Linked DNA regions of Oryza sativa Japonica Group. The protein of the gene in region 1 interacts with the protein of each later gene in a pairwise test. Links are inferred from orthologs where the notes say so. Each region holds a gene or a part of one and is shown on either strand. Other genes may lie near its edges.

Region 1 (16,013 bases):
GGGGAAGGGGAAGGAGAGGGCGCGGCCGAAGTCCCCTTCCGCGTCCTCGAATGCACCGGCTCTCCCGGCGCTCGGCGAAGGACGGCGGAGGTGAGACAGAGCACGGGGCGGCGGCTATGGCGCGGAGACGAATGGAAGAGGAGGGGGGGTAAGGGGAGGCCGGGGGTTTAAAGGGGACGGCAATGTCGGTTTGAGAACCGACTTGCGCGGTCAAGGCGCGAGCTGGCGCTCCGGCTAGCGACCAAATTGGCGACAGGGAGGATGACGCCGGCGGGAGGAAAAGGGAAAAAGGAGGGGGAGAAAGGGGGCTTGCCCCTTTGCCGGATCGGGAAAAGGAGGAGGGAGCGGGGGGGGCGATGACGACGGCGATGACGGCGGCGGTTTGGAGCGGAGCGGCGACACTGGCGGCAGGCGCGGGCAGGCGCTGACGACGGCGGCGACCGGGCGGTCGGCCATTCGGCACGCGCGCGCGGGAAAACAACAGGAGGCGCGGCGGCACACGCGCTCACGCGCGCGCGGCGTGCGGGCGGGGCGGAGCGGAGGGAGGAGAGGCGCTCGGGGCGACTCTCGCACGCGCGAGCAGCGCGCGGGCGAGGCTGAGCGGGGGGGGAGGAGCGCGCCGGGGGGGGAGAGAGAGAGAGAAAGAGAGCTCGGGAGAGAGAGAGAGAGATGGGCCGAGCGGAATTCGGCCCATCGAACCCCGGGGGAGGCAAACTAAACTTTGCGGAGGGAATCGATTTGAAAGGATTTGGATTCGGATTTGAACTCGACGATAGATCGGGGATTGAGATCTTGAGATGGCACGGACACTAGACAACAAGCAAGGAAACAAATTTCGCAATTAGGGTTTTTAAGAATTAATTTTCCTGCTAGGCGCCACGACGGAACGGGCACTACACTATGGCTCTGCGATAGCCGCAAGAAGGTCGACAAGGCTCATAGGCGAGGCTCTGACACCGTTGCAACTCTTGTGACGTGTACAATCTAGAAAGAAAGAAACAATAGAGTGTGCAACAAACAACAGCGAACATAGCCCAAGGTGGCCAAGGCGATGGCAGCCGATGCGACGCTTTGGCGTCTGCCCAATGCGTTGGTGCCGGTGTTAAGTCCTTAGCCACTAGAGCGGCTGGTCGCCAAATGTTGAGTCAGGAATAGGCTTCGGTTTCTTAGTCTTTAATGTTTCCCGCTTCCCTTCTCCTTTTATTTTTTTTGGGTTTGTTTGTAAAATTTTATTTCTTTTAATTAAAAAATACGCTCCCTGCATATTCCAAAAAAAAAAAAAAGCTCTTTGCAATGTTCAGAGTTCAGACATTCTTGTGGTGCTCCAAGGAGAAATATATTCAGGCGACTGCAACCATAGTACAGACAACAGGCAGCATGCTGAGGGATGTCAAAATCTGAGGTAACAATGTACCACAGTACCAGCAATTTCAATCCTCATTCTTAATTTCCAGTTCTCATATGAAGCGAAACATACTCCCGCCAGCAGCAAAAACAATAGAACATTTGCCACCATTTAGTTGAACGGAGTTAGTAAGTTGTTTTAAAGGACAAATATAGAAGCAGAGACATCCATCACATCATTATTTCTACCCTATAATCATTAATTTGTTGGGTAACTGGGCGCAAAAGGGAACATAGGATTAATGACATATAATGCCATTTAGGAGTACCTAAGAATAAAATTATCAGGGTACTCAAGGATGAAAACTCTATGAACTAGAAATTGCATTGCGAGACTTCAAAATTTCCGCTGCACTGTACTTCCAATCTATCTGTTGACAGCTAAATTTGACACTAAGGAAGAAATATAATAAAGTTTGACCAAATTTGAAAAGAAGCTCGAGCCTTCTATACAAAGCCGTTCTATTCTGTAAAAAAAAAAAAGAATTCCTAGCCACAAGTCTTCTATAGGATTGGTCTTTTTTTTTTGGACGGAGGGGCACCGACCAGTGACCGTTGTAAATCGTTGTGGTGACAAAAGCATCAACACTATATTTTATACTTATACTAATTGAATACTCAAAACTTCTAATGTTAACCTGAAAATGGAAAATTTAGTCGTGGATTAGATAGATAGCACTATCCTATTTCAAAAAGTTTAATTACATGGTCTTTAGATGAGACCTTCTGCTAGAAAAATAGCCACAATGTATACCGTTAGCACTATGACTTCTCTCTCCTCTAGGATCCCCTCTAAAAACCAACAATGAATATGCTCTTATTACATCAGCCTGCAGTGTAATACGGAATCTTGGAACTATCATGCCCTGCAACAAATTCTGTCCCATATGGATGCTTGATACGGTCACTACATGAGTGACAACGCTCATAGTCCTGATTCCTCGTCATTACATAATCAATTCTCCTGTTGATCTCATGGCATCCACCTACAATTAAAGCAACATCAACATATCAAATAAATCGCTGAGAAGGTCCTACAATCACACGTACAAACATCAATAACCTTACAGTAATTACAAATAAGCAAGCATATTAATCAGAATACAGTCAATTGGTCGACAATAATAAACATACCAAAACAAGAACCCTGGAGGTTGTGGATAGAGACGACACACATGGGCTCGATATCATCAGCACATCCAACAATATTAGGATCAAGGCTCAACTCTGCAAAGCGTTCCATCCTCTTTGCCAGAAGATCCGGATTCAATTTGAGCTCTGCAAAGTACAGGCTCTTCTTAGCCTGATCATCATTCTGAGCCCTGGCAGTAAAGTTGACATGGGCGTATGTGGACCCACAGACCTCATGAAAACAGTTTGATAAAAGAACAGTACAAAGCTCAATCTTAACCTGAACAAACAAAAAATAGAAAGGTTAGTAGTTTACAACATTAAGACTTATCATGTCATGGAAAGCAAAAAAAGGAAAAGGGCTATTACAATGTTCTTCTCAATATTGTTGTAATGGTTAATTGCTAAATTGGCGAAGCGATGAGCTTGGGGACAAACTTTCTTGCCAGCGAGCTCTGCCTCCATCTCTTCTGCGGTCAAATGTTGCTCACTGCAATATATTCAAAAGAGTAATAGATTCAACAGTGTGTTGGACAAAACCAATTTTAGGTATTCACTTAAAAGTTTAATTTCACTTCAACTATTGCATTCTGTATTTCTGTTGCATATACAGGACTTCAATTGTTAATGCGTTCTATCTCTGACCACCAGCTAAATGAATCAACTGAAGTTATTTTATAATTTAACTGTTTTAGTAACCAAGAATGGAAATGCAGCTTAAAAAAAATCCACATTTCTTATTAATTAAAATGGTTGCAGGTTCTAATATCAGTTTACCCATTTACAGGATCGTGCAGGATTCATCTCCAAAGTAACTTTGGCTTTTCTGTCTCCACCTCTTCCTTGTGTCCTTAGGAGATCTATTCTAAGCTGAATTATCGATGTCTTGTTTGCTGTGATCACTACTGTTTTATAAGTGATAAAAAAACAATGATAGTTTTTCACATGAATTTTGTACTGAGGAATATAATGGGTGCGCAATTTCACGTGTGTTAGGATCTACGAAAGGAAAGTTCTATTTGTATGATGTTTTCTTAGTGATGTAGTTGACATACCCATGAGCAAAAAAAAAAAACAAGAAGAAGAAGAAGAAGAAGAAGAAGAAGAAGAAAGAAGAAGGGGTTTAACATACGGTGTATCGGAGAGGACGCGGGGTCGGAAGATTTGTTCGATTTTGTTCTTCTCGATGTCGATCATCCTCTGATAGAACCTGGCCATCTGCGCCTTGGACTCGCGGAAAGCGGGCTTATCCTCCTCCCTGAAGCAGTGAGCCTTATCGCTCATGTCCAAGCTGTCCGCGAGAAGCTCCTCCCATGTCATGGGCCTCTTTCTCAGGCAAGGATGGGGTAGCGTGCGAGGGATCCTCCTCCACCTCCCTGGCGTCCTCTTCTTCCTCGCCGGGGCCTCGCATGCAGACCCCGCCGCCGCCGGCAGGAAGGTGGAGGAATTGGCCCCCGATTGCGACGGCGACGGCGGCGGCGGCGGCGGCAGAGAGTCCAGCCATTCCCGCGCGGTGATCGGGACGGTGGATCCCTGACGAACCTGGAACATGGAGTAGGTCGCCAGTTTCTCTTCTATGGTGGGCCTTCTCATCTCCGCCCGCCGAATCGCAGTCTAGGGTTAGGGTTCTTCCTCCTCGCGAACTCGATGGGAGAAAGAAAGTGGTCCTGATATATATATATCGATGCGAAAAGAAATTTATGCATATGTCACGGAAATCAACACACGTACATTTGGCTCCTGCTCAGCTGATCCTATACCATATAACGATACAAATAAACATATTGAAATTAAAACAAGGAAATTATACTTCTGACAGATCAGGCTCCGAGTCCGCCGACCATATGTATTGCACGGCGTCGCGGATCACCCGGAGAAAAGCGGCGGCCGGCAGCCGGCGCAGACGACGGCGACGTTGTGTCCACGCGGCGGGTTTCCCGGCCGCTGGCGTCGGCGGAGCGTGCTGCCGGCCGTCCCACCGCGACACGCGCGCCATCGGAGGGCGGTTGCACCGGGGTGTCGGGGGCCATGCCACTGCCTCCTCGGCAAGCCGCCACCGTCGTCGGCGAGCTGCATGTGCGTCGCGGCACACCGGGGTACCAAGGTTGACGGCGGCGGAGGAGAGCGGCGCGGCCTCCCCAGCACGCCGTCGTCGTCGGCCAGACTGATCGGCACGGCGGAGGAGAGCGGCTCTTCTTCGTCCTCAGCAAGCCGTCGTCGTCGGTCGGCAGCATTATAACCGGCGGCGACTCCTGCAGACGTAGTCCGCCGTGTCCGAGCGGCCGTGCTTGGAGCAGCGGAGGGGCGAGCCGGACGACGTGAAGCATCAGCAGCAGCAACAGTGCAAGGAGATCGAGACGAACTCTCCATGGCGGGAAGCCGGGAAGGAGAAGGAAGCCAATCGAGAGATGTGATGTGTACGTGTGTTGCAAGCTGCAGCGCTTCGTTTTGGGTATATCACCGGGAAAGTATTTTCTACACATGGTACCTAGGTGTATACATGTAATTTAAACAGTCATATAAAAGTTTTATAAAATTTAATAAGATAGGCTATGTTAATATAAAACACTATACAAACATACAAGTCTAAATTTAATCGACATACAAAGAAAAAAAATAACAAATTTTATCTGCACTGTACAGGGACTAGTCACTGTCTGATTTTATTATTTTTGTTTCTTTAGTTATAGATCAAATTTAGTCATGCATGTTTGTGTATAGACTTATATCATCACAATTGATGTTACTATTTTTTTTTTAATTTTTTCTATAACTATTTGAGTATACTCTACAAATCTCGTCAACGAGTATAGCCCGTCGACAATAAGCATTAATCCCAAATTCTATAAAGTTATCAAAACTGAAAATATTATAATTGTGAGACCCAAACTAAGTACAACCGGATATTATTAATTACAAATTTTGAAATTTATTAAATCATGGCAAACTTATAATTAAGACACCAATCTGAATACAACTTAGTTTTTATTGATTCAGAATTTCAGACTTATTGAAACATCGAAAAGATACATGTTAATTAAGGTCGAAATACTACCATGAGGATCGATAGATATATATGCTAGCCTACTTAGCTAGTGACGAAATTAACATGCATGCAAAATAAATATACACATGTGCTCGTCTACTTAAGCTAGACATATATTCATACAGTTGGTAATTAATGGTACAGTTTATATAACTTCATCTTCTTCCTCGGTCTCGATCGATCAGGCTTCGAGTTCGCCGATCACGTATTCGACGGCGTCGCGGATCAGGCGGAGCAAACCGGCGGCATCATCCGCCGGCGCCGGCGGCCGGAGCGGGGGATCCGTGCTTGTTCGGAGACGTGGAGACGTGATAGGCGGCTTGTTTCCCTGCGGCGACGGCGGAGCGATCCCCAGCGGCGGCTTCCCGTCGTCGTCGGAGAGCGGCTTCGTCGACCCACCCGGCTGAGGCGACGGCGGAGTATTGGTCGGCGCCCTCCCCCCCGACACGCCGCCGTCGACCCCGGCCAGCGGCGTCACCGGCCGATTTGACTGAGGCGGCGGCGGCGCCCCGCCGGATCGTCCCAGCTGTCCCGGCACATCCAGTCCCGGCGAGGCGGCGGCCACGGCCTCGCCGTCGTCGGTCGGCAGCATTATAACCGGCGGCGACGACTCCAGCAGACGATGTCCATGTCCGAGCGCGAGCGGCCGAGCTTGGAGCAGCGGAGGAGCGAGCAGGACGACGTGAAGCATCAGCATCGGCAGCAGCTTGCAAATGCAGGGAGATCGAGACGAACTCTCCATGGCGGGAATGAAGGAGATCAGAAGGAAGCTGATCGATTCGATCGATGGATCGAGAGATGTATGCATGTGTGTTTGCAAGATGCAGCGCTCGCGGCGAGCTCTTTACATAGGTAGGGTTTAATTGCGTACGGCGCTTGTACTTGTCGACAATGTGTGTGGCGATTGGTGAGTCAACGGTTTTGTTAGTTAGGCTGTGTTTAGATCGTTGTAAAGTTTGGAAAAGGACTGAAATTGGAGATGATGTGACTGAAAAGTTGTGTGTGTATGACAGGTTGATGTGATGGAAAATGACTGAAGTTTGGATCCAAACTTTGGATCTAAACACAGCCTTAGTATTGCTGAACCATCAAAAAATATATATTTAATTTGGATCAACTAGTCGTCGTTAATGTTTAGTACTCCCTGTACCATAATATATATACCATAATATGAGAGATTTTGAGTTTTTACTTGCAACGTTTGACCACTTGTCTTATTTAAAAAAATTTAAAATTATTATTTATTTTATTCGTGACTTACTTTATTATCTACAGTACTTTAAGCACAACTTTTCGTTTTTTATATTTGCAAAATAAAATTGAATAAGACGAGTGGTGAAACGTAGTATGGAAAAACTCAAAATCCGGGACGGAGGGAGTAGTAACAGGAAAGGAGCACGAATGACAGTATGTTGTCAGTTAGTTGCTACCGTACGCATTTTTTCTCTGCGAGCTAAGGTTGCTAGCAACATAACTGTTCAACAGCTATTAGTTACAAAAGAGAAAAAAAAATGTTCAACAGCAAGGAAGCAACCGCGAAAACCCACGTGCGTGAATGACCGGAGCTAGTGTCAAACTTCTGCGCTCACTCGATCGCGATCGATCTGGCCGTGAATTGGTGAGATTTTTGGCTTGCAGTCACATGAATCTTAATGCGAGCATTCAAACCATCAAACCATGCGAGCATTCAACGATTTTTTATGCACTTACCACAAACCGGTTGCTAGTTGCTACAGGCTACAGCCAGTCACTAGCAGGTTTTGGAAGCCTGATGGCGAGGAGCTGACAGTTTTGATAATTGACAACATAATCAGCCAATCAGGCCATGTTTAAGGGAGCTTCTTGTAACTGCAATTTCATCTTCGGCTCTTCAAACAATCTAGCTTTTCATCTAGATTCTAAGGGTCTGTTTGGAGGAGCTTCTAGTAGCTGCAACTTCTCCTAGAATCTCCAGTTGCCAAAAACTCCCTCAAACAGTCCAGTTTTTTACCCAGATTCTGAAAATCTGTAGTTGTAGAATCTGAAAAATGAACTAGGGGTCTGTTTGAGGGAGCTTAAGATTCTGAGAAACAGCTGGCTGGTTGCCAGCTTCTAAGAATCTGAAAAAACTGGGTTTCCCAGCTTCTAGCTTTTTATTTTCTGGATTCTACAACTACAGCTTCTTATAATTTAGACCAAAAGCTAGACTGTTTAGGGGAGCTTCTGATTCTGGGAGAAGCTGCAGTAGCTAAAAACTCCCCCAAACAGGCCCTAAGAATAAGTAGAATTTAGCTTGTTTTTCGTATTCTCACCCGATGGCTCTCAAATTTCCCAAACAAAACGGCATTCCAATCACACGAATGGCAGTGACTACCTTGTAACATCAAGGTTACAACAAATAACTAAACGTCTAAACCGTGTATACTGCCGGGCTTGGGGGACGCTGTCGCGGTGCAGGTTGGCCATCATCGTGTCCTGCCAACGGCGGAGCAACAGCAACCGGCCGCCACATCGGCGGCGGCGCGCCACCTCCGCCGTGTTGATGCGGCGCTGGGTGCTTCGGCGACGGCGGGATGTACGGCGACGGCCTCACCAGCGCACCACCGTCATCCGTGCTGACGCTGCTCCGCCACGCCGACGCACGAAGATGTGGATGGGAGGAGTAGGCTTCTCCTGAAGCGACAAAAACAGCAGGAGAAATTTCGTCAGTGAAGAACAGACAGACAAATTAGCTATCAAACCATTTGTTATACGTAGTATTTTTCACATGGTCAATGCGTGATGCGTTTGGTCAGTGAATGACAAATTACTAGCTACCAAATGCACTCCTCTCTCTCTCTTTTTTCACATGATGCATGCGAGTGAAAGCGTCTATGTTGCCTACCTAGCATCCGTGCTTGCAACGGCTGAGCGAAGAGGAGGTAGCAGAGGAGAAGGAGAAGACTATGAGACGGTGATCTATCCATGATCGATAGATGCAGGAGCAAGCTGAAGCTTGCTGCAGATCAATCGGTACACGGATGGAGAAAGGTTTTGGGAACACGGTCAGTATATATAGCGGCTAGAAACCACTGACCTTGTGTAGTTGACGAGTTGTCGAGGTTTCGAGCATTATACACTAGCAATCTACCATGTGCACAGTCGAAAGATGCTCTCTTTTTTTTTTTGGGCCCAAAGTGGGCTACCTGCTTTGTTTCTCGATGCCTGCTTAACTGTAGAATAGTAATGAAGCTAGAGTATCCCCTACCTGGCTACCTCTAAATGATAAAATCTGAGCCAACAGAACTGCTTCAGTGCTTGGCTATATCAGATTATTGCTCATCTCGTGTCAAGATTCTCAGACTTCAAATAGATTAGAGTGCCAACATTTCACTAGTCACAAATTGCAGATTATAATTATGATATGGCAGTGACAATATGACATTATATTTGACAAAACCATGAAGTCAGTAGCGGTACTAGATCAACCACTGGATAATAAAACAAGTCTAGGCTCTAGAATCCTATAAATGTAACGGAAGATTACCGGCCTCTGCCATGTTCCTTCAGGCATTCTTGAAAAATATTCAGGCGACTGAAACCATAGTACAAACAACAAGCAGCAGAGGGACGTCAAAATCTCAGGTAACAATGGAGCAAAGTTTCCAGCAATTTCAATCCTCAATCTTTCGAGTTTTCATGAAGCAAAACATACTCCCGGCTGCAAAAAAAACAATAAAACATTTGTCAGATTTTAGATGAACGGGGTTAGTAAGGAGGCATATAGAAGCAGAGGCTGATCATCATTATATTATATTTACTTTTGGGCAACTAGACTCAAAAGGGCCCTAAATATGGATTAGAAATAGTACCATCCATCTAAGAACAAAAAGATGAGGCTTCTGAAGGATGAAAACCGTATGAACTAGGAAGGGGCACTGTGTGCAAACTTCAAAATCTCCACAGCTCCGAACATATGTTATACATTTATACATGATTGAGCTTGCAAGTCAAGGCTCCATAAAGGAAAATTATGTTTCCATAATGTAGACATTTTGAGATTCCTTGATATTTATAAACATTAATATACCACCTAAAGATTCATTTGGAAATTGTATTGAGAAAAACAATTAGGCGTAGTTTACAAAGATATTACTTAGATTATTGGAGAAAAAATGTTTATCCCAAGAGTACCACAAATCAAAATAAAAGCTCTAATTAAAGAGAATGCCAAAAGCCAGACTGTCACTTTCATAATAAGTTGTTAATTTAAGTCATCACATACCAAAGATACATATACATTGAGCAATATACAAATAAACAAAAAAGTGATGCTTTCTTTAATTGATCATACCTACTATTGCCAAACTTAATGGTATCCTTTTCAAAGAGTTCATAATAACGGCTGGGCTCAATACGATTCTCCTGAAAAAAAAATCAAAACATAAATATTGACTGGGTAGAAAATATTATTAGAAATGCGACTAGTGTATCTGATTAGTAGTAAAAGTATCACTGGAGGACTTACATTAATGAAAGTTCCATTGGTACTACCAAGATCCATCAGATAAGGCCTATCAAACAAAGCAGCAAAAAACATCATAATCTAGACTAGCATACAGAACTAAGATAATCATGAATTATTAGTACTTGTTATTAAAAAAAATATATGCGTTACTAGCAAGGAGTACCTCACTTGCTTTGACATCATGCCATCTGGCTGCTCCTTCTCTACAAGTCTGAAAAGGCAAAGAGATGAGTGAATCACAATATTATTTCTCAATCTATACTCCTTTTAAAAGGGAGCAGTGGTGATGGTGAGTGGTGAATCTGCCACCACCCCACCACCAGCTCCCTAGTTTTTTTGGAATAGAAAAGGGGGGCCTACATGTCAACCACCCCTACCACCAACTTCCTACTTTTTGTGAGAAGAAAATAGGACAGTGCACATGTCAGTAACAAATATATACATAAATTAAGGGGCGATATACACAGAAAATGATGATAATAATGAGTTAATGATAATTTTCTTTATTTAAAATCCTGTTGCCACGCACAGGCAATATGCTAGTAAAGGCAAAAAACAATAAGATTGCTATGCTTACCTATATTGAAGAACTGCATGTTGCTTACTGCAGGAGGGATGATCTGTGGGGATGTCTGCAACTTTCCGTTCCCTTCCAAAAAGGTAGCTGCTCATCCGGTGAACATATAATGGTTCTGTTCAATCAAGATAGCATCACAAGACACAGTCAAACAAGAAGAGCAAAACTGAAGTATTTAATCACTAATGTAAGCACGTGAATTTTTTTACCACCGTACACATTTAATTTATACCACTATAATGCCCAACCTTTAACTTGCTGTTCATCACAATAAACTTCATTACTTCAGTTATTTCACTTCCGTTCAAAACTAAAACTAGTGAGCTATCCATACAATACCAATGCTCAAACAGTATCATTGGATATATTCACAAGCCAGTGTATCGTAAGGAACTGAACAATAGCAAAGCACTAGGCAGGCTTCATTATTACAAACCAATGGTCCTGTGTTTGATCCATCGATTGAACAAAGGTTCTCTTTCCTTTCCCCAGGGCTAGACAACTAAGCCACAGATAAGGGCATGTTTAGTTCTCAAAGCATGTGAACACCTTTTATGAGATCTAGACCTCCACTCTAGTTAGGCACGTGCACACACGCATGCATTTAACTTGGGTGGCTGTGCCGTGTACACATATCGACCTTACTCTAGAAAAGAAAGAGCCCTTTTACTCCCCGGGGAAAATGTAAATAATGATACTGATTCAATGCAAGCTCATATCATAGTGACCCACTCGTTAGTGCCTTTGCTCACGTTAAATGGTTCGTTCCAAAACTCTCCGAAATTAAGCTAGTTCGAAAATGTTTTTATGTTCCATACTCGCTTCATCACAGTCAGTTAAGCTTACTGCTTTTAACAGAACCTACTTTTGGTTTGGCCATGTTGGGAAGGGAAATAGAGAAACAGCTGTTGAACTAGACAAGAACATGCCTCTACAGACTGGCAAATCCAAAAAATGTTTTTTTCTTCTATTTATTAAAAACTATTAACTCGAACAGATAGCATGACAAAAGGAAAAAAGTTAGCTTCATATATAGAGTAACAAGTCAAGAATAACTACCTTCGAGTGGTTCACCACCCTTGAAGACGTAGAGTCTCCATCTAATATCTGACTTGCGAGCCTCTGGAGGTTCTGAATGCAACAGATTTACACCTGAAATGGAAGTAAATTGCAAACTCTGAGGACAATGCAATACAGCAAAGAACAAGGAATTACAAATTCTCATTGGTGGTTAAACAAACATTAATGTAAAGTGTAACATTTAGGTTCATGACCAAAAAGAAAGATATAGGGCTTCAAAACAGCACCTGCAACTCTGTTAGTCTCCTCAGCAAGCTTTCCAGACAATTCAAATGATGGTTTTTGCTGCAAAACACCAATGAAATTATTAAAATACTAGTGTATGACAAATGAAGAGAAAGGTTAAATAAAAAGAAAGCTGACATGGCAAGTATTTTGTATCTGCGAAAACAGCAAGCATCATATAAATAAACTGTACACAACAAAAGGAAGATTGTTATTATTTTAAATTTCATCATGGAGTATGCCCTACCTTTTCTTTTGCTTCCAGAGCTTCTGCAGTAGCATTCATCTTCACCAAAGAATCAGGATCAACACTCCTGGCCAAAATAGTATCAAATATAATATTTTCAGTTCTAAAATTTCAGGTACAAAAACATTGCGCTCATGTAGCTGGTCAAATATACATTTGTTTGTTTTAGGTACTACTGCTACAGTTGCTTAACGGATATGCTGATATGCATCAAAAGTTCAAAACCATTCCAGCAAGAGGGTATGACACCCATAACACGCGTAGCCCCATTGATACAACAAGAAAACAATTGCAAGCAATGCTTCTACTAAAAATTTACAATTCGTATTGAATATAGAGTTTTGCATGCTTACCGTGACGCTGCATCTGTTACAGAGCTTGTATCCTGAAATAAATCAAAACAAAGTTTAGGTTGCAACTAACGGGCCATATATGATAGCAAACATGAAAAGAAACCAAATTGGTATGAAATGAAAAGGATAGCGGGCAACTAATTATATCCTCTAGAATCTGAACTCTGAAGCAAGAAGGGTTTACATGGAATACAGACCCACAAGTTTAGTGTCAACAATGCTGATAACAAGGCGTACTCCCTCTGTACTCGTAAAGGAAGTCGTTTTGGACAGCGACACGGTCTCCAAAACATAACTTTGACTTCTTGTTTCTATAAAAATATTTAATGAAAAGTGATATATGTATACTTTTATAAAAGTATTTTTCAAGACAAATCTATTCGTATAATTTTTACATTTTCAAACTCAACTTGAGAGTTATTCATGATTTATATTCCCAAGGTTTGACTTAAACATTGTCCTAAACTACTTCCTTTACAAGTACGGAGGTAGTAATTTTTTTTCACTTCTATTCATTTGGGTGCAGGTTATCAGACAAAGAACAGAAACAAGGGACAATCATGAAACAAAAGAACACACTACGCCAACTAACAGGTGGATATGTATAAGAAAAGGGTCAGATATCATTACACACCTCACCATGTGCTGCACTTCTAGATGACCTCGGTGACTGGCGGGATTCACGTCTACCCCTATGCCTATGCTCTTCTGGAGACACTGATCGCCCACGCCTAGATGATCTCCCTGATTCACCATTGCTCTCATCCCGGTCTGCCCTTCTCTCTCTTGCAGAATCCCTTCTATCATCATGATCTGCCCTTTGCTCCCTGGAATTGACTTTTCGATCATCCCCATCAGACCTTCTACCCCTTGAATCACGCCTTTCATCATCTCGGCTTGACCATGTCTCCCTTGAAGCACCCGACCGATCAGACCTTCTATCTCTTGAGTGATCCCTATCATCATCATGATCCAGTTTCCTGTCCTTAAAAGAGCCCCTACTATCCTCCCTCTCAGTCTTTCTATCCCTTGACACATCCTTTCCCTCATCACGCTCCCTGTACCTCCCCGAGTCCCGCTCTTCCCTGCTGGTGGTCTTCCGACGGTCACCCTCAGTAGCATCTGCACCTTCCCGCTCACTCTGAGCCCTTCTCAATCGTTTGCTCCGTGGTGAGGGCGACCGAGACTCCCGTTTCCTGGCAGGTGACGGAGACCGTGACCGTGACTGAGCTTGTTTCGGCGACCTGACCTGCTCCTTCACCCTATCTCTCTGTGGCGACCTCCCAATACTCCTAACAGGAGACCTCCTAGGTGAGCCATTCCTCCGAACAGGCGACCTCTCCCTATGTGAGCTAGTAGTCTTAACAGGAGACCTCCTCCTAGGCGAGCGACTCCTCGGAGCCGGTGACCTCTCCCTCCGAGCAGGCGGGCTCCGCCTGCGCGGCGGCGAGCCACGGTCCCTCGCCGGCGAGCGCGACCTCGAGCGCCCCGACCTCCGCGAATGCTCCCTCCGCTCCACCGCCGAAGCCATTCCCCACCTGGAGCAGCATCACCCCCAAACCAAACCGATTCAGAACAGCACTACGAAGAAAAATCGCGGAATCGCTAGGGTTTTGTGCGGCCTCAGTCCGAGGAGCCGCCAAAAAAAAAAAGAGGGAGGGAGGGAGGGAGGAAGGGGAGCGTACCGGGTGCGGCGGAAGCGGATGCGGAGTCGTCGGCGGCGAGGTTATCGCCGGTGGCGACCGGCCAGCGGCGACCGCGAACCGAGGGTTTCTTCTCTGTGAGGGCTCGGCTTCAGAGAACAATCCGGAACCGGAGGCGGAGTCCGGGAAGGCTGTACAATATCAAGACGACCGCGAAAGCCCAATAGAGAGCCCAAGTTGCTAAGCGACGGCGGCCCAGTTAGATGAGGGCCCATATGGAAGACTCTGTGGTGGCCCATAGGGAATAAGTTCATCTAGGGTCCCTTAACTTGTCAAGGAATCCGATTTTCGTCCTTCAACCGTAAAACCAGATACTATGGGTCCCTGAACTATCAAAACCGATGCATATTAGGTCCCTCGGCGGTTTCGATGGTGGTTTTGGCTGACGTGGCACCTACGTGGCTAATTTGACTCGATCACGATCTGACGTGGCACTGATGTGGCAATTTGATCCGGAAAAATAATAAATTCCGTGGGACCTAAATATCAGTTTCACACACAAATTAATAAAAGAATGGCGGGGTCCACGTGACCCCACATGTCAGTCAAAATCACCCCTCCTCTTCTGCTTCCGGCTTGCCGCTCGCCGCGACGACGACGACGACCGTGGATGCGGCGCCGGCGCTGGCCTCGACGTCCTTGCTGGCCGGCGTCGTCGTCGTCGACGACGACTCGTCGGAGGACGAGGTGCCGTCGACGTACATCCCGATGGCGGCCTTCCTGACCTCGAGCACGAACAGCAGCAGTGTGAGCCAGACGATGGCCTAGAAGACGGAGAGCTGGACAACGAGCTGCTGCGCCCCCTCACCGTACATGGAAGGCCGTGAAGATCGAGAGGGCAACGGCCATGAACCACCAGCTCCACCGCTGCTTTGTATCCACGAGCACCGGCACCAATTGCGGGTCCCACGCCAGCCGCCGGGTCTGCTCCTCCGCCTGCCGGCACGCGTCGTTGTCGGGCATCAGGAACTGGATCAGCAGGAGGTCCAGCGACTGCGCCGTCCCTCCCTGTTGCCAGCGGCAGCTTCCTCCTCCCTTTACCTTGCTGCAATCGCCCGGCACCGGCGGCGGGGGTGAGCAGGCAGCAACCACCCGCCGGCGCTACCCGCCTCCGCGCCGTCTCGCCGTCACCGACACCGCCCGCGCCGGCGGAGGCGTTCGGGTCCGATGCCCTCAAGGAGACTTTCTCCGTTGACGTGGTGGCGGCCGAGGCGCGGCCGCTGAACGTGCCCCTGGCCGCGCCCTTCACCATCGCGTCGTCGCGGCTGGAGACCGTGTCCTACGTCGCCGTTCGGGTGGAGCTCCGCAGCGGCGCGGTCGAGTGGGGGGAGGCGCCTGTGCTGCCCTCCGTCACCGCCGAGGACCAGCCCGGCCGCCTTTGGTGCCCATCCCATCCGCATCTGGCGCAAGAGAGATGAAGAGAGGGGAGCTGGGGAGAGGAGGAAGATGGGAAGGGGTGAGTTAGCCTGACATGTGGGGCCCACATGGGTCCCATTGTTTTTTATTCTTTTGTGTGAAACTGACACGTGGGTCCCATAGGTTTTATTTTTTTTCTGGATCAAATTGCCACGTAAGCGCCACGTCAATGCCACATCAGATGAAGACCGAGTTAAACTAGCCACGTAGACGCCACGTCAGCCAAAACCGCCATCGAAACCGCCGAGGGACCTAATCCGCACCGGTTTTGATAGTTCAGGGACCCATTGTACCTGGTTTTATGGTTGAAGGATGAAAATCGGATTCGTTGACAAGTTAAGGGAC
Region 2 (17,089 bases), on another chromosome or scaffold:
TCGTTACTTTATTTCTAATTTTGTATTTGTAGATATGTGTTTCCAGTTTAAATTACAGGGTGGAATAAATAAGAAAAGGATCGAAGCGAGCTGGACATTTTTATCCTTTTGATTTTATCAGGAGTACATGATTCAGTTTGCAGATCATCTGCTTCAAGCAAGTGATTGTATTTGTTAATTAGCACTTTCAAAGTTACAATCCAATAAAGAGCACCTGAGCAGGACGGTGGTTCTCAGCAGTTGTAGCCATGTCCTACCTGAATATTTGAAAAAAAAAATGCAGGCCATCAAAGATGAACGGCAATGCAACATCGACAGCAGCGAGCTCCAGCCACCAGTCTCCTAAATACAAATTTGTTCCTTTTCTGGCACAATTGATTTTTATAAGAATGTGATCAGTGAGATGAACAGATCAAATACCATTGATTGCTTTGACCCACATGATCCGATTCAGAAGGTAAAATCAAAAGTCTGATATAATTACAGTTAGTATGTTCTGTTCATGGTGTTACCTTTTTCTCCCTGTATGCCCAAGCACATGATTTTGTTTGAGGAATCTATTTACTACAGTTTGCATTTTTTTCCCTATATTGCATCATATTTATCGGTTCCTCAAATGAGTTGACAAATTCCTGGTGCAGAGAAATTTTAAGCTCTGAATGTTGTAGTTTAGCCTTTCTGCAGTACAGAAGAATTTCTTTGGATTAATCATGTAAGGTAACAAAGTGCAATTACTAATATGCAATTACATAAGTACATATTAGTATCTTCATAACATCTTTTTGACACGTATCTTTTGATAAATAAATTCAATATCATACTCTGCGCTCAATCACACTAAAGCATATCGCTTTCTAATTTGATCAAACTTGGTCATTATTGAATTCTACAAAAGCCCACAGCAACGCGTGGGGTATCAACTAGTATAATATAAAATAGATGCAGTACAGTTATGTTCGGCTTATTCTTTGCATGATGATGGCATTCTAAAGTTTCAAATAAAAAGGCTTTCTAATTTCTGAATTCATTCAATCAGTGAAATATAGTGACCAGTCCTTAAGATAGATATTTGTAGAAAAGGTAATCCCTATGTATTATATTTTTCCATGTTATGTTCTACTCATTAGCTCGGGAGCTTTTGTTACTAGTTGATACCTCGCATGTTGCTGCGGGATAGCTATATCGTGAATTTATAAGATGTAATTCTAGAACTTTTGACTATTGGTAAAATATCATTACATAGAAGGGAACATATAGCTGTAAATTTATCATAATTGCATGATCAGCATGCTTGAACGTTCGATATGTACATTGGATTACTATATGAATTGAAATGACATGATTCCAATTAAGATACTCCCATTTCGAAGAACCATGAACGGTAAGCAAACAGGATACTATTTTTATTATGTACTAAATTGGCTTAAGATCTCTAATAAAATATTTCTTTTTGCGAGAAAACAAAGAGAAAATACGGATAACTCTGCATGCATATGTTGGTATATGATCTTAAAAGAAACAACTATTGGGTGCATGAATCTAGTAATTTCAAGAAACATGTTCACCTATGAGTAAATGGGAGGAATTGTAGAGAAACAAATTCAGTGATTGCCAGTCTGAAAAACACAAAGATTTAGCACAACCTTTTAATTAGACGTAGATGGTCAAATGTGAGAGTGGACCAATCCCTCAATACTTAAAGTTACCAAAAATTGAAGTTACAACACCAAAAATTGAAGTTACCATAGTTGTGGTACATTGACATAATAAAGCTTGGTGATAAACGAAGAAATCAGATGTGAAAAGAAGCAAGATCATGATAGAGTACCAAAAACCAATCACCATAGGAGATAGACATAGATAGACATCCTTGCAATTGGTAAAGATCATCGAGTGTTGTAATTTGTACCAACAAATTTTCGATGTCATCTATGACAGTGACAAACCAAATTTTCATTGGACCATTGACATTTCCTCCTTAGATGATTGAGGAAGCCCGTTCAAGCATAAATATTTCAAGAAAATCCATTGGATCGACCTAGATATGGCTAGTAGATGCATTAGGAAAATTAAAGGGAATGAGAAAGAGGTAGACACAAATGTAGTGGTGTAGGATTCGGGTGGGAGATGTATTGGTTAGTGGTTAGTGATAAAGAGAGATATAATGATGCATGAGGTAATTAAGAGGAAGACAAAAAGCATTGGTCCTCTCAGATGCCATCGGCTAAGAAGAACTTGATCTAATGGTTGATTTGCATAGACGCAAGATGATCTAATGGTCAATATAATCATGATTATGTGGCCTCACAAAATTTGAGCTTTATAGCATAAATGACTTGTTGAGGGTACCAATTATATAGGAAGAAAGGATTTAGCCGATCGATAGGAGATGCAATGACGGGAGGAGAGGAGAGGCCACAGCGAGGGGATTCAGATCCTCTGCCTTCGGGGGGTGAAGGCACGGTGGTGCAGTCAAGCCATCCTCACCGTCTAGCAAAAACCAGTGGCTCACATTCGTGTGTGTACACAGAGTAGAATGGGCTAGTCCATCAAAGCAAATAGAAGAAGGCTTGGCCCAAAAAATGTCAGCTTATGCATATAAAGCCTTTGCTCTGCTAAACATTATCTGAAAGCCTCCAATTGATTAGTGCTAAACTGCTAATTCACCTAAAAAATACGTAGAATTTCACGAAAATAAAATGCAAGGCAACTCATGAGTTTTAAAAAACATGTTTCATTACACAATAGAGTGACAAATCACATCACAAGGCAAAAGAAATTGTGACTAGAGCATATGATTAACAAGAACAAAAGCATTGCCATAGCTAAAATGTCTTCAGTGCCAAGCTCATTGGTGTTTGGCCCATGTAAAGTTGAACCAGAGTAAAAAAAAAACTTAGTAACATTGCAGTCACTAAGTTTATGCGTTTAGCTTATTATTTTGATTACCATCAACAATTGGGTGAAGGTATTTATGACCCCATATTGTCCAACATCACTGATGTTGGTCCTAGAACTGCTCTCTTCTACAGCTTGTGCCTGCAGTCCAGCATTCTCAACATCTTGTTGCTGGAAAGAGAACAAAATTTATAATGCAAAGGTCATTGGCATGAACTAAAATATAGCACTAGGATGAAATTGGTACTAAGAACTTACCTTAGTTTTTTTAGTTGTACTTTGTTTTTTCCTCCTTGTCCCATTCTTATCTGTCCATGATCTATTCCTCTTCAAATTTCTTGTACGGAATTCTTTCTTCTTTAGGCTTGCATTAGTAAGTGAAACATTTGGTTCTTGAACATCAACACGAGCTGCACATGGGTCTCCCAAATTAATACATGGACTTGTAGCCATTTTATTTTCAACTTCCTTGGTGAGGATGTTAAGCGTGTTGTCTACTAGCAAGAAACATTATGGTGAATTAACTGCTTGATGTGCCAAACTAAGAAATTTGCATGAGAGATATTTGTAGCGAAGCATTTCATCCAATCTTGGACCTTCAACTATGCTTCTTCCTTGGTTATCTTGTATAGTTTCAAGACGTGCTTCTTGCGTCCATCGCTTTAATGCGTTCATCGCTTTAACACATAATGTGTTGGCAGTGACTTGATATTCATCAAATCAAGAGCTTTTAAAGCATGGCCACAGAATATTCGAATCCTCTTGAATTGACCATAGCTACATATAGCCATTTGCTCTAAAGGATTACCAGCAACCATGTACTCCTCTTCAAATGCTAAATTCTCATCTCCAATTGCAACAAGATATTTATTATCTCCATCCAACACTTCAGCACATGCTGCCATGAAACGTTCATATTCAGCTTGGAATGCTTCAAATATAATGGGTGTGTACAGCTTGCTTGCTTGCAACAATATAGGTATTTTCATTTTAATTCTTGGCAACTTTTTCCTCGACTCAAATAGAGAATTCAATTCCTTATCTCTTTTCAGTTGCACTACCCTCTCAAAGTGTTGTAGAAACCAAATGATATTCAAAATTAGATTTAAAATGGTCTTTCAAGTCATTATTCAGACTATCACTTAATTGTGTGCTTCTCATCCCCAATGTATGGACATCCTTCATATAACATTTAGCCCACTTTTTTTTGAACTTGTAGATACTATATAACCAAGTCTGCTTCTGCATCTTGCTTCTCATGGTGTCAAATGTTTCTTCAAATTTTGCCTCGTCCTTGTACTCATACATACAAGCACTAAAATCAGATAAAATACTTGAGCCTTCATTCTTCGGTTGAGATAAATCCTTGATAGCATTCTGTATTATGTGGAACGTCCATAATCCATGCCATGCTTCTGTGAACACTTATTCAACAGCTTTGCCCATTGCACTATCTTGGTTTGTATAAATTGTTTGAGGTTGCTTGCCATTATGTGATTTTATAAAGGTCTCAAACAACCACTTGAAAGACTCAAATGTTTCATCATACATAAGAGCTGCACCAAAAACTACTGTTTCTCGAAAATGATTGAATCCAACAAAGACACCAAAAGTCTACTCTCTTTATTTGTTCCAAAAGTAGTACCAAAAGTGACATCACTAAAATGTGCATAGTCTATGATCATTTTAGCATCAGCCTAAAATATGTTTGCTACTTGTTCATCACAATCCATTTGCAAAGCATATTGGAAGGATGGATTCTCAGCAATTTTGACTTGAAAATACTTCAACATACTTCCGGCTTGACCATATGCCATCTCCCTCCGTCGCTTGGTACGCAAATAACTTTTTTGATCATGAAGGGTGTAGCTAAGATTAAATGTTCCACCAACTTAACGACTAGCTAGCTCATGTGCAGCTTTTGGTCCAATTCCGGAGTCATCGGCTGTCTCAATTTTAAAAGGTTGCAAATCTAAATTATTCCTTTGTGATGACATTAGGTGGAATGTTTCTCGTGGATAAAGGATGTGATTGTGGTCTAGAACAAGATCAGTCATGGTCTAGTATAAGGCCAATTCTTACTTGACAGCCGGTTCTAGTTTCAGCTCTAGGACATTTTTATTAAATAACCTCTTTTATATTGTTTCCGATGACCCTCTTTTTGAGCAAACATATCTAAATGATCTAACTACCAGCAGACTTCCTCTTATTTGCATACCTCTTTGTAACCTCGAAACCAGTGTTACCTCCATAAGATTATTACTACAGAGAAAATACAGCCATGCTTGAAGAATGACAAGTATAGAGATGGTATTTATTTGCCTCATGGACTCATGGTGCTCGCCATCCACCTTTTCTTCCATCTCTCTCGTAGAAACTGACCAACCACGGTGGCAAATACGTGGTCTTCAAGTGGTTTCTTCTGCCATACCTAACCGATCACAAGCTTGTTGCATCTCAAAACTAGGCTGTGAAGAGGTGACAAGAAAAGGGCATAAATTCTTTTTACAGCTAAGGCTCCGTTCAATACCTCACTTTCCCAACCTATCTCCCTCGTTTTCCGCGCGCAAGCTTTTCAAACTGCTAAACGGTACTTTTTAAAAAAAAAGTTTCTATATGAAAGTTGCTTAAAAAATCATATTAATCTATTTTAAAAAAAATAGTAAATACTTAATTAATCATACAATAATAGGTGCTTTGTTTTGCGTGCCGGGGAGGAGGGGTTCCTAAGAAGAGAAATGGAGGTGAAAAGGGTAAACGAAGATAATTATGTAATTACGGCGCCAAAATAGAGTAAAGATGCCATTTTTCCCTCCGCGACTCCATTACCGCGGACATTTTCTCGCCATAATGCGCCAACCTGGCTAGGCCTCATTTGCTGGCTTGATTGCACGGACTAATGGGCTGGCCCATTCTACTCTATGTATACATGCACGAATGTGAGCCACTGTTTTTTTTTTTTTGACGGTGACGATGGCTTGACTGCACCACCGTTCAGCGCCCGAAGGCAGGGGATGGGGGAAGATGTGGCGTGGCAACGGCAGTGAATTAGTGATGAAGGGTACAGTGAGAGAATTTTATTTTACCTCAATCATTGCACGGGAGTCCCCCACAGTTTCAAATTTTATTAATTAGAAATGAAACAAAAATTACAACGAGTCCAACCACAAACTTAAAACGATTTCTCGTGGAGATTTAATCTATATACAATAACATATGGGGATCACTTTTCAAAAAAAAAAAACTCTAAGATTGCACTGTAGGTACTATATCTTCAAGTGCTAATAGAATTAAACTGTCAACGAATATAATATCAAATCGTTAAATTTTACTAGTTACCCTGGCCTGATAGGTTGGTGCGTCTGTTGCTTGCCGATAGAACAGATACATGCTATTCGCTTAATTATTTTGGTGCCTTTTGTATTTAATTAAAAGTTGTTTTTTTCCTCTTCCAACTAAGGCCCTGTTTGGCACAGCTCCAGCTCCAGCTCCACCCCTCCTGGAGCTGGAGCTCAGCCAAACAGTTTCAGCTCCACCAAAACTGGGAGTGGAGTTGGGTGGAGCTCTCTCACAAAATGTACTAGAGTTGTGGAGCTGGGTTTAGGCAGCTCCACAACTCCACTCCAAACTCAACTCCTGGAGTTATATTTAGGAGTTGGAGTTATACCAAACAGGCCCTAAAATTGAGTTTGCGAAAGTTGTTTAATTAAAAGTTGTTTGCGAAAGGGTCTGTAACCTAGTGGTTACAAGAGCCTCAGTAGCACCTGAGGTCCTGACTTCAACTCCCTATGGGAGCGAATTTTCCAGGATTTAACGGCGTTGTGCTTTCAGTGGTAGACGACGTACCCGTCGACAGCGAGACGCCTGTGGTGACTTCGTCAATCTCTCCAGGATTTGCCGGCCCAGTCTTCGAAGATGCTCATAGGGGTAGAGTTTGCGTGCGTGCGTTCATAGGGGTGAGTGCGCGTGCGTTGTGAGTGTCTGCGTTGTACTGTGTAATTCTCAAAAAAAATTGAGTTTGAATTTGAAATTTGGTGGTGGTGATATAATTCATTACCTATTTTCATATCTAGTTTTTTTTTCTTAATAATTTGCATTGGTATTACACAAACCTGTTTGTTGAATGGAATTTAGTATATAAACTTGTAAAATTTTTGTTTTGATGCCTTTAACAAGTTTTCACTTATTTGATGGTTTTCAGCAGATATTTCCCCGTATCTTTCCAGAGTCAATAATATCAGTATCTGCAACTCAAGTCTTGGATTAGGAAAAAAATGGCAAATGAATCAAAAAAGTGGTCATACAGGTATAGATTGATAAGTGTAATATAATCCATCTACTAAGTGGCATGTGTCGTACCAAACCATGCACTGAAACTTTAGTACTATAGACATCAAGCTTCTGTATACATTTTAGTATATCAAATTTATTCTTGCATCATAATGTCAGTGCACATAAACAGGCAACCCTTGCTACCAAAGCAAACTTGTTTTCCCGACATTTTGCTACCAAGAGGAATATTACACACGAACTTTTCAGATGGAATATGCAGCATCTCGCAGACTTGGGGACAGGCTAACTTAACTGCCACGGTAAGTGGTGAATGAAAAAGGAGAATGCAACAGAGGGACATGGAAATGCTCGGTCGTCTGGTTCTTTTTTATCTCAAATATGATGCTCACATAAGGGAAGAACCCTGAAGGTGCATACTTGCTGGTGTTGAAACTTATGCGGTAGAAACCAGGAGCGACGTTATTGACAATGTCCATCAGTTGACCGCTGCGGCCATCGTTGTTCGTAACCGATGAGCCCAGGGTTGCCCATCCATTGAAATCTTTGTTGTTGAATGATGGGGGTGTTGATGCATCCTTCCACATCTCTAGGTGAACTTCAATTCCTGATGCTGGCGATCCACGAGCGACATCCAAAACATGGGTTGTGATCGGAGGGCGAGTTCGGTTGGAGCTACCTGTAATTTCAGGAGCTTTATTGGCAGAATGCTGGGTGTGAGATCCAAGATGTGCTCCAATAATCCGCATGCGGTCTTTTGAACAATAAAATGGTAAGAAAGCAGAATAATTATAAAACCATTAGTAGTATGCTACACTTCCACAACACAACATGCGAAGGAAAATAAAGTGATGTTAATTATAACGTACAGGTTAATTGTCGCAGCTAGTTCAACTTTCAAATATTGATGATAAGCGATGCCCAGGAGATGCCTTTCCAGGATATGCTCATTCCGTAAAGTTAGTTCATTACTTATTTACTCCACATATGAATTACTTCATTTCTTGTTTTCAGTTACAGTTTTATATGCCAAGAGATAATACATATAGATAAGAAAATGGATCGGAGGTCAATAGTAAGCAAAGTTGCTGCGTGTAATCATGTCAACACTAGGTTGCTCATTAACATCAGAAAAAAAAGTTTGCAACTACTAATCTATACAGTACTACAGTGCGTTTTTCTGCAAATTAAGTGAACCAAAATACTAGGTGAACTGCATTTCTTTTTTACTTTTTTAGAGTCAGAAAAAATATAGTTCCTTTAGTATTGGATATCAGGACTTATTTCTGAGAAAAAAAATGATGTACTAACCTATGAGGTGCAACCATGACCATGGAAAACATCAAAGTGTAGCCTTCGTCATGGAAAAGACTATATGCGAAAAGCCCAAAAATGCACAGCACAGCTGCTCAGTCAAAAAATAAATGTGGGCATGGGAACTACCAATCCAAGAAACTTAATGAGGACCATTGGGATAAGTATATTGGATAGGTACACGGAAAATCCTCGAATATGTTGAATAAAGAGCATGCATTTATTAACAGCAGATAAAACTGTTTCAGTACCTGCTGCTTTATCCGATTGGCTAGTAGGACCTCCAACCGTTGAAGAAGGGGGGGCAACAGGCTCTGATGCAAAAAGCTTTGCAAGACGCAGTTCAGTTATCTTCAGTTCTTCCTGTGCTGCGATCTCAAGTTCAACAATTGGCCTATTTTCATAGCGCCTCTGAAAGAGCAGGATGGTAATAAGATAACTTCAACAATGGAAAGGAAGTCATTATATGAAGCTTAGTTGTATATGAAATGCTTGTCATGCTAAGAAATAGGTTATCCAGCAAACAGTGTCAGAGATAAATTTAACATGTGTATCCCTTAGAAACAGTGTTACTTCTATGGCTCTCATTTTACTGTTATTCCACAGGTCACAGTTCGTCATTACTCATAGAGAACAATCATCTAAACATACGAGCGCTAGTTAAAAAGAGATAAATAAGCACAGAATACTAATCAGGTAATAGAAGAGCATATCCAGACCTTAAGCTCCGCTAAGACCTCAGGGGCAGTCCTCCCAGACGCGCATATCATGAACACAAACCCAAACTTCTCCCTATACCTGGCATTCCAATCTGCCAACTCCTACAGCAGGTGAAAAGAAGCATATTGAGCCTGCAAGTACTGTAAAACATGCAAGAAAATGATGGCAAAGAAAGCTGCAGCACCTGCGCGGTCGAATCAGTGGCAGTTGCAAGCGCTGCTGATTGCTCCTCCTTGCACCACCTAATACCCCCACGAAGCAAATCAAAATTTTCCTACCATGGTACTAGCTTTTAAAGGGCATATACACTCAAATAATGCAAGAGCTCCCAACCACCAATTAAGCACTTTCTACTTGTCCACCCTTGTGTACTTGTTGATGAAAACTACCTGATTCTCTTTATTCATTTGTTTATTGGCTTTGGCTAGTGTGATTTTATATATCAGACTAGACTCGTCTTGAACCACCTTACATTAGTGGCACAATATGTAAGGTTGTAGAGGTCTGTAAATTAAGGTAGTTGAGAACACCATGAACATGTACTATGCGGCTATGCCTCTCTGTATTGTAAGCCAGTACGGGCATTGATAATTCAGATCTCTCTATTCGTCAAAACTGATAACGCCGCAGAGTGAATTTCTCCATAGGATGGATGATTTGAACAAGTTGAGCAAAGCATCTTGGCTGAGGGAGTTTCCTTCTAGGAGCTCTTAAGCAAATCAATCCGCTCTCGGCGACAGACAGTGGAGATCGACAACAAACAAACCCAAAAAGAAAAAAAAACTACTCCACTAAAAAAACTAAAGGAAGAAGGAAAGAGAGGCACCGACTTGGGGGCGGAGGAGGAGGTGGTGCCGATGGCCGGGTGCGCGGCGAAGGCCTCCAGCCACCCGTTGACGTCCACCTACGATCCGATCGGCGGGCCAACAAACCATATCCAGCCATGAGCAGCGAGCATCATCATCATCATCAACCGCGGGGGGATGTGGTGGTTAGAAAGGTAGGAGTATAATAATACCTACCTCGTTGAGCCAGATGCGGCGGGCGGCGAGGAGGGCGTCGGCGAGGGAGGCGAAGGGGGAGGCGGCGGCCAGCGCGGCGGCGAATCGCCGGCTCCCGTTCACGCGCAGCACGTCCTCGACGGGCAGCTGCCCCCGCGTCGTGGCCATCTCGGAATTAGGATCTCTCTCAGCCGGTGATGCGATGCGAGCTCCGGGCGTACTACTCACTGGTTACTCACTAGTACTCTTATGTGCTGTGCTATATAATTATATTTCTCTCCTCTCTTGGAATTGGAATGAATAAAAGCTGTTTGGTGCAGGGTCCACTGGGACTTGTGGGCTTCTATTCTCAAGGAAATCACGTGTAGGCCCCTTTGAATCAAATAAATAAAAAAATAGAGAAATAGAAAAAATATAGAATTTTAACATAAATATAAGTGTAAAACAGACGATTGCAAAACACAGAAAAAACGCGTTTGATTGGACCACAGGAAAAAACACAAAAATTTGAGTAGAGATAAAGACTCAAAAGATATTCCATAGGAATTTCATAGGATTTGATAGGATTTCATAGGGTTCATTCCTTTAATTCAAGGCTTTGTAGAAAAAATTCCTATAAGAATAAAATCCTCTAAAATTCATATATATTTCCTTCCTTCAATTCAAAGGGAGCCGTACTTTCCTCATTTAACGTCTGCAATCGTCTGAAATTCTGAATATTCAAAATTTAAGATATGTTTGTTGTTCGTAAGCAATCGACCACCTCGCACAAAAATGTGACTTTGTGAATTTGAATATAACCTCAGCATCCGGCCAAAAAATTCAAAGAATACCACAAAATTTCAAGGGTACCAATAAATACAACATGAATCATCAAAACGGTCTATACCACACAAGATTCTTTGCCCTAGTTAAAACATAGTATAAATTTGAACCTAATCTTTGTGGTTTACAGAGCCAAAGCCAAGCGAAATTAGCATCACACAATTCACACGGACAGCAACGGAACACTTACATTAACACGGATTAGAGACAGGTGAATTACAATGTAATTGTATCTAGCCATGCACAGTGCCAAAGAGGCAGCACCGCTAGAATAAGACGCAAACGAATCAGACTAACAAAATAAGAGTCACCAGACACACTGACAATATGCTGAGTATTTTTGACAGATCCACCAATAAGACGAATACAGCACCATCATGAGAAACATATTGTTCCACAAAATACACCCTACTCAGATTGTTCTTATAAGCAAAAGATTAAAACCCACTACTAACACTACGACGCATGCTTCATTTGTCAAAGGAATCGCCGAGGGGAATTTAAGCCCTCTCACCACGAATCCTCCTAGCCAGCTGAATGTCCTTAGGCATGATGGTCACACGCTTGGCATGAATGGCGCACAGGTTGGTGTCCTCGAAGAGACCAACAAGGTATGCCTCCGCAGCCTCCTGGAGGGCAAGGACAGCATGGCTCTGGAAACGCAGATCGGTCTGCAAAACAACAAAGCCAAGTTCAATCGATAAGCCATCACAAACAATCCAAATTTGAAAGCAATCAAATTATGCCATGAACTTTTGAGATACCAACCTTGAAGTCCTGTGCAATTTCCCTAACAAGCCTCTGGAAGGGCAGCTTCCTGATCAAAAGCTCAGTACTCTTCTGGTACTTGCGAATCTCACTGTTTTATAAGCACAATAGTAGCAAAACAAATAAGCAAAAGCATATCAAAGACCACATGGAGGTAACCATCCCAGGAATTTGATACTAACCGGAGGGCAACAGTTCCAGGGCGGTAACGGTGGGGCTTCTTAACTCCTCCAGTGGTGGGAGCAGACTTACGAGCAGCCTGCACAGAGATGGTGATGTAAGACCATCTGTCGAAATCACTCTGTGTTTAACAAAGCAAAAGGCAAGTATGAAAAGAATTATACCTTGGTGGCAAGCTGCTTCCTGGGAGCCTTTCCTCCTGTGGACTTACGAGCGGTCTGCTTGGTACGGGCCATCTATGTTACAAAAAGGAATAACATGTTACAGACAGAATATGCTGTGACAAAAATGTAATAAAATTCTAGAGTGGAAGTAAGCACTTTCTGTAATAACACCACAGAAACAAGTAACAATTCAAAAAAAAAACAATATGCTAGAGATTGACCTAAGAAAGCAACATGTTTCTGTCAAAATTTTGTGAGTTCCATTGAAAACATTGATTATGGACACAATTTATTGTTCTTAACCTGATTAACGGATGGCAAAGTAACTATATAAAAAATAGTAAGCAGGAATAACAGCCTATCTCTATAAACAGATTCAAATTGATGGTTTCAAGCAAAGCAACAACTCTACTTACTAATGGATAGAAACCTAAAGAGAACATCTGTAAGTTCCCGACACAGTAAAACATACAACATTGAATTAACTGAACAAACTAATACACAGCACTCTCCTAAATAAAACAAAAATAAGAGTGCCATTATGCCAAAGCAATGTATTATATCAATCATAGCTTGATTTCTGTACATCCACAAACTAACATTGAAACAGAATGAAGGAGAAATAGACCTTACAATTACAGGTCTAATAACAGAGGATTGAGAGCCTCTGGCACAAGTCATTAAAAATATTGGACAAAAACTTATAACCCAACAAATATAGAAAATGCAGCATAGCTATACCAAGTAAACAATAAACAATTGTACGGAGTATCCATATTAACGCAAGTTGCAATGCAACCCAGGGGAGGTACAAACTAACTACTACACAATGGCATCAGTATAACTACTATGCTTTTTCAATCATAACATTGCGATATCATCGAGCAGTGACGCCATATTCATCCGTTCATATCCAGAAAGGGCACGGCAACAATAAAATAGCTAGTCTAAATTCACCCGAGTAAATAATTCGTGCCAATCACATACAGCCGCCACTCGCCTACAAAATCCCAAGGGGAATCCTAAATACAAGTTTACGATGCGTATCCACTATATCACCAATAAACCCTAATTCCCAAAACGTTGCAGGTAAATTAAAGCTAAACAACCTAAAATTCACCAAGAAACCCTAATTCCCAAAACGTTGCAGGTAAATTAGAGCTAAACAACCTAAAATTCAACGGCAAATCCCATCAGCACTCCAATTACCTAGTCAAAAACTACAGGACTACACAGCCCTGGAATATCAGACGATTAGACCACAACCAAACCAGCAAATCACACGGGGCTGGCATTCACCGGGCGAAACGGCGCAAAAACAAGCAGATCACCCGAGAAAACCCCCCAAATCGCCAAATTCCCCCCACCCCCAAGCCCTAACCCACCCAATCCCCCAAGCCCCCAACCAACCGACCTCAACGGAGAATCTCAATACCCCGCCGGGGTCGCAGCAAACGAGACGAAAAGAAAGAGAGAGGGGGAAACTTCGCCGTGATGCTTACCTCTCTCCTCTCGCAAGCGCCGTTCCTCTCTTCACGCTTCGAATCGGGGGAGCGCGAGGAGGAGGAAGAAGAAGAAGAAACCGCAGAAAAATTGCTCAGCCAAGCGGCGGCCTCCTATTTATAGCGAGGAATCCCCCACCCCCCGCCCGGTTGGTATATCCGCCCGCGTGGTCGGACGGCCGAGATCGTCCGCGGGTGTGTTTCCTCCGCCACGATCGGACGGCGGTGGGGGTGGGAGCCGGGGGGTGAGTGACTGCCCGCGGATCGCCAGCGTGGATCCCTGGGCTCTGATTGGCCCGAACTGGCGTGCCGCGGATCGGTGGTCCCACGGATCAGTGAGAGGCGGAGCGTGTCTCTGTGTGTGTGGGTGTCCGTACCGCAACGTGACGGGAGTGTGCGGCTGCGGAGAGGAGGGGGAGAGGTTGGTTGTGGCGTTCCTCTCGCGGGGGCCGTTTGATTTGGTGCGGGGGCCATCCACGTGGCACGATGACGCTGGGGGTGTTCTTTTGCCGCATGTGCTCAACTGCAGTTTTGTCACTCGTCAGCCAGGGAAAACCGAAGGAAAAGGCTATACGTAATAACTTTTTTTACTAAATTCTTACTAACACTGATGTGTCATGCTATGAGTGCATCTAGATTTTTTGTAACTTCTATCTACTTAAATCAAACGGTTGAGATGATTGTTAGTAAAAGTTTAGTAAGAAAAATTTAATACGTGTAGCATTGCTCAAAACCAAAAGGTTAATTCGAGCCATGTCATTATCGATATGCCATTTGGCATAAAAATATCTTTATAATTCATCTATCCGTAACTGCGTCACTGAATTTTAAAAAATTAGAACCGTACTGCCGTCACGTTTTCCATTCATTCTCCATGTTCTTTCTTCTCTCTTCCCATCCTTTTCTCCATGTTCTTTCTTCTCTCTTCCCATCCTTTTGTTTTGTGACAGCGGCGGTAGCTATGCAAGCAGCGGCGCGACGGTTGGCGACACAGGGACCCACTGCCCCCATCCCTCCTCCTCCCTCTCCCTCGCAAGTCGCAACATAGTGGCAACGGAGTAAAAATCGACGAGATTCCCCCAGCACAGCCTCTAGGGTTGGAGGTGGTGGGGGGTGGCCAGGACACCAATGGGGCCTACCCCCATCGCCAACCATCACACGGAGGAGCGTTGGGTGGCTATGCTTGGAACACATCCCCAGCGACAAGCTTCCACCTGTAAGCTTGTTTGCTTGCAGTGCCGCTCTCTCTGTCGCCGAACTCCTTGTACTATGTGAGGTCATGCCGCACGGTGCACAACAAGATATCACCACTCTTCGCGGTGGAGCTCGAGCTCCTCCTCTGTAGCAACCACTACTTCATCTCCACCTGCGGCAAGGGTTACATGTTCCCATCCCCACTCAGCTACGCTATGTGCTCCTTCTTCGTGTTTGGCTCTGGTGCAACGACAAAGGACATGATGCACCAATGGGGTCCGTGTGCACATGAGGAAGAAGTGTGGAAAACATGACGGTCGTGGCATGGTTTAAAATTTGTAAAAATTTAGTAACACAGCTACAATGAATGAATTGTAATAATATTTATCTGAAATAATATATTTGTAGTGACATGAATCGAATTAAAAAAAAAAACACTTTAGGGATGATGGGAAGATCTCGTACTCCTATACTAGTATCAATGGCTTTTCAAATTAAAAAGGGAAAAACATGCCAGTGCTACTAATATATACCCCTACGAGGTGTTTTAGTTTTATCTGAAATTAAAGTTTTTTCAATTTTTTTCGAATTTATAAAAGACAATATTACTAGCAGTAAGGATTTCTTTAGAATAAATGCTAGTGATGTTTTTTTATTCCTTCCAATAAATAATATTGTTCTTTTAGTTCTAACAATACTTAGCATGCGTTCGATTCTTCGGTTGGAGGGAGCAACTCTCTTATTTTATGTTAGCAAAGCTACCTGAACCGCTAAAGATGTGTTTTATAAGTTGTTTTAAAAAAAACTAATAGCATCATCGGTTACCCTAATAAGTCAAATGCAAAGCCAAAACCAAAATTTAAATTTTTAAACTTAATTTTTAAAGTTGATTTTTCTTTTTCAATATTATCTTTTAAATCACGGAGACATATATAAAAGTTGTACCTATAAATTAATTTTTATTTTTTAACCGTTTTGGCTTATTAAAAATATGGACAACTGATGAATACCTAAATAAATATATTTTTAAGTTGTAATAATTAATATTCAATTAATCATACACTAATGACTTTGTCTCATTTTAAGTGCCATCGGAAAATTCATCCAAAATCTCTCCATAACGCAGCCTCACGAGTATTAACAACACGTATTTGCATGTTTAAAATAGAACGCTATAAAAATATAGCGAACATGGGAAAATATACTATACTGAACACGGGAAAATATAGCAAATGGGAGATCTGAAAACCATGGCTTTATATTCTTTACAACCTAGTGAGGATTAAAGCATGTATATTTCGTATAGGAAGAAAATTTTACTCCAAAAAACTCATATTTTATATTCTTTTTTCAAAGAATTCTTAACGCTAGCGTTCAGCCTCCATCATAAATGCTAGTACAAATTAATACTACAGAATAGACGTTTCCTAATAGTTCAGATTTATTGTAGTAGTAAGTGTTTCATATGTCCAAAATCCTTACATTACATTTTAGGGGGGATGGAGGGAGTAGTATTGTAAAACCTAACGTCTCGAAAATTTTCAAAACCATTCTCTACATTTTCATGAGATTGGAGACTATCCCGTGTATCCGATCAGCCATCTTACCTGATCTGTCAGTCGGCAAAGAGAGTTGTTTAAACCGAATTAGTCCTTTGGCTTGGTTGGACTGGAGCGTAGGGTTTTAACAAACGCACAAACTTCTACTGCTTCAGAGTAGTCCTGCTGATTAATCCCCACCGTTTCGCATATAGCTAATCTGAAGAGCAAACGGGGGTGCTTTGGCACTCAAAGTAGGTCATCCAAATTTCAGATGACCTGATCAACCTGCTGCTTAGCAACTGGTAGGTGCAACCACACGCACTACCAACACTGCCAAGTTGGCTGAACAATGGTCATACTCATGTAGAGTGCAAAGTCACTCGCGTCTAATTGCCGTGCACCGCTAACTCCATAGCGTAGACGACAATACATAAACAGAGAAAGTAAAGAACTTAAGATTTATGTCAACACATTTTCCCAAGCGAGCAACCACATTATCCTGAGAAAACAGTTATGGAAGATCAGTCAAGGGAGGAAGATCATAGCTGTAATGTGAGTTTCTCAGCAGTGCAGAGGATGATCGTTTAGGTAGAGTCAACAGATGTCATTCTTCAAATAAAAAAAGAAATCTCTTATTTGTAAATCTCTCCAAAAAAAAGGACGATCCCTCCGATTCTGATAACATGACGCCA

What was found.
Region 2: the proteins of FHA domain-containing protein DDL (region 1) and uric acid degradation bifunctional protein TTL interact in binary tests that used the Arabidopsis thaliana proteins (3 or more experiments, as listed by UniProt). The link is inferred for Oryza sativa Japonica Group from reciprocal best matches to the Arabidopsis thaliana genes DDL and TTL.

Annotation. Positions count from the first base shown.
Region 1 is NC_089039.1:27,210,137-27,226,149, reverse strand, and holds FHA domain-containing protein DDL, read right to left. Parts: upstream 14,364-16,013; 5' UTR 14,235-14,363; intron 14,088-14,234; 5' UTR 14,081-14,087; coding exon 13,184-14,080; intron 12,582-13,183; coding exon 12,550-12,581; intron 12,264-12,549; coding exon 12,197-12,263; intron 12,010-12,196; coding exon 11,952-12,009; intron 11,797-11,951; coding exon 11,704-11,796; intron 10,760-11,703; coding exon 10,645-10,759; intron 10,279-10,644; coding exon 10,231-10,278; intron 10,114-10,230; coding exon 10,068-10,113; intron 9,965-10,067; coding exon 9,894-9,964; intron 9,261-9,893; coding exon 9,221-9,260; 3' UTR 8,934-9,220; downstream 1-8,933. Other genes in the region: uncharacterized protein, read right to left, coding at 2,230-2,390, 2,539-2,815, 2,905-3,025, 3,668-4,128; probable auxin efflux carrier component 5a, read right to left, coding at 14,804-14,972, 15,061-15,215. UniProt on the Arabidopsis thaliana protein: Involved in the microRNA (miRNA) and short interfering RNA (siRNA) biogenesis. May facilitate DCL1 to access or recognize primary miRNAs. Binds RNA non-specifically.
Region 2 is NC_089037.1:15,994,941-16,012,029, reverse strand, and holds uric acid degradation bifunctional protein TTL, read right to left. Parts: upstream 10,461-17,089; 5' UTR 10,392-10,460; coding exon 10,245-10,391; intron 10,127-10,244; coding exon 10,053-10,126; intron 9,465-10,052; coding exon 9,407-9,464; intron 9,324-9,406; coding exon 9,222-9,323; intron 8,914-9,221; coding exon 8,754-8,913; intron 7,943-8,753; coding exon 7,479-7,942; 3' UTR 7,298-7,478; downstream 1-7,297. Other genes in the region: histone H3.3, read right to left, coding at 11,549-11,719, 11,817-11,907, 11,999-12,075, 12,161-12,232. UniProt on the Arabidopsis thaliana protein: Involved in the last two steps of the degradation of uric acid, i.e. the hydrolysis of 5-hydroxyisourate (HIU) to 2-oxo-4-hydroxy-4-carboxy-5-ureidoimidazoline (OHCU) and its stereoselective decarboxylation to (S)-allantoin, a major ureide compound.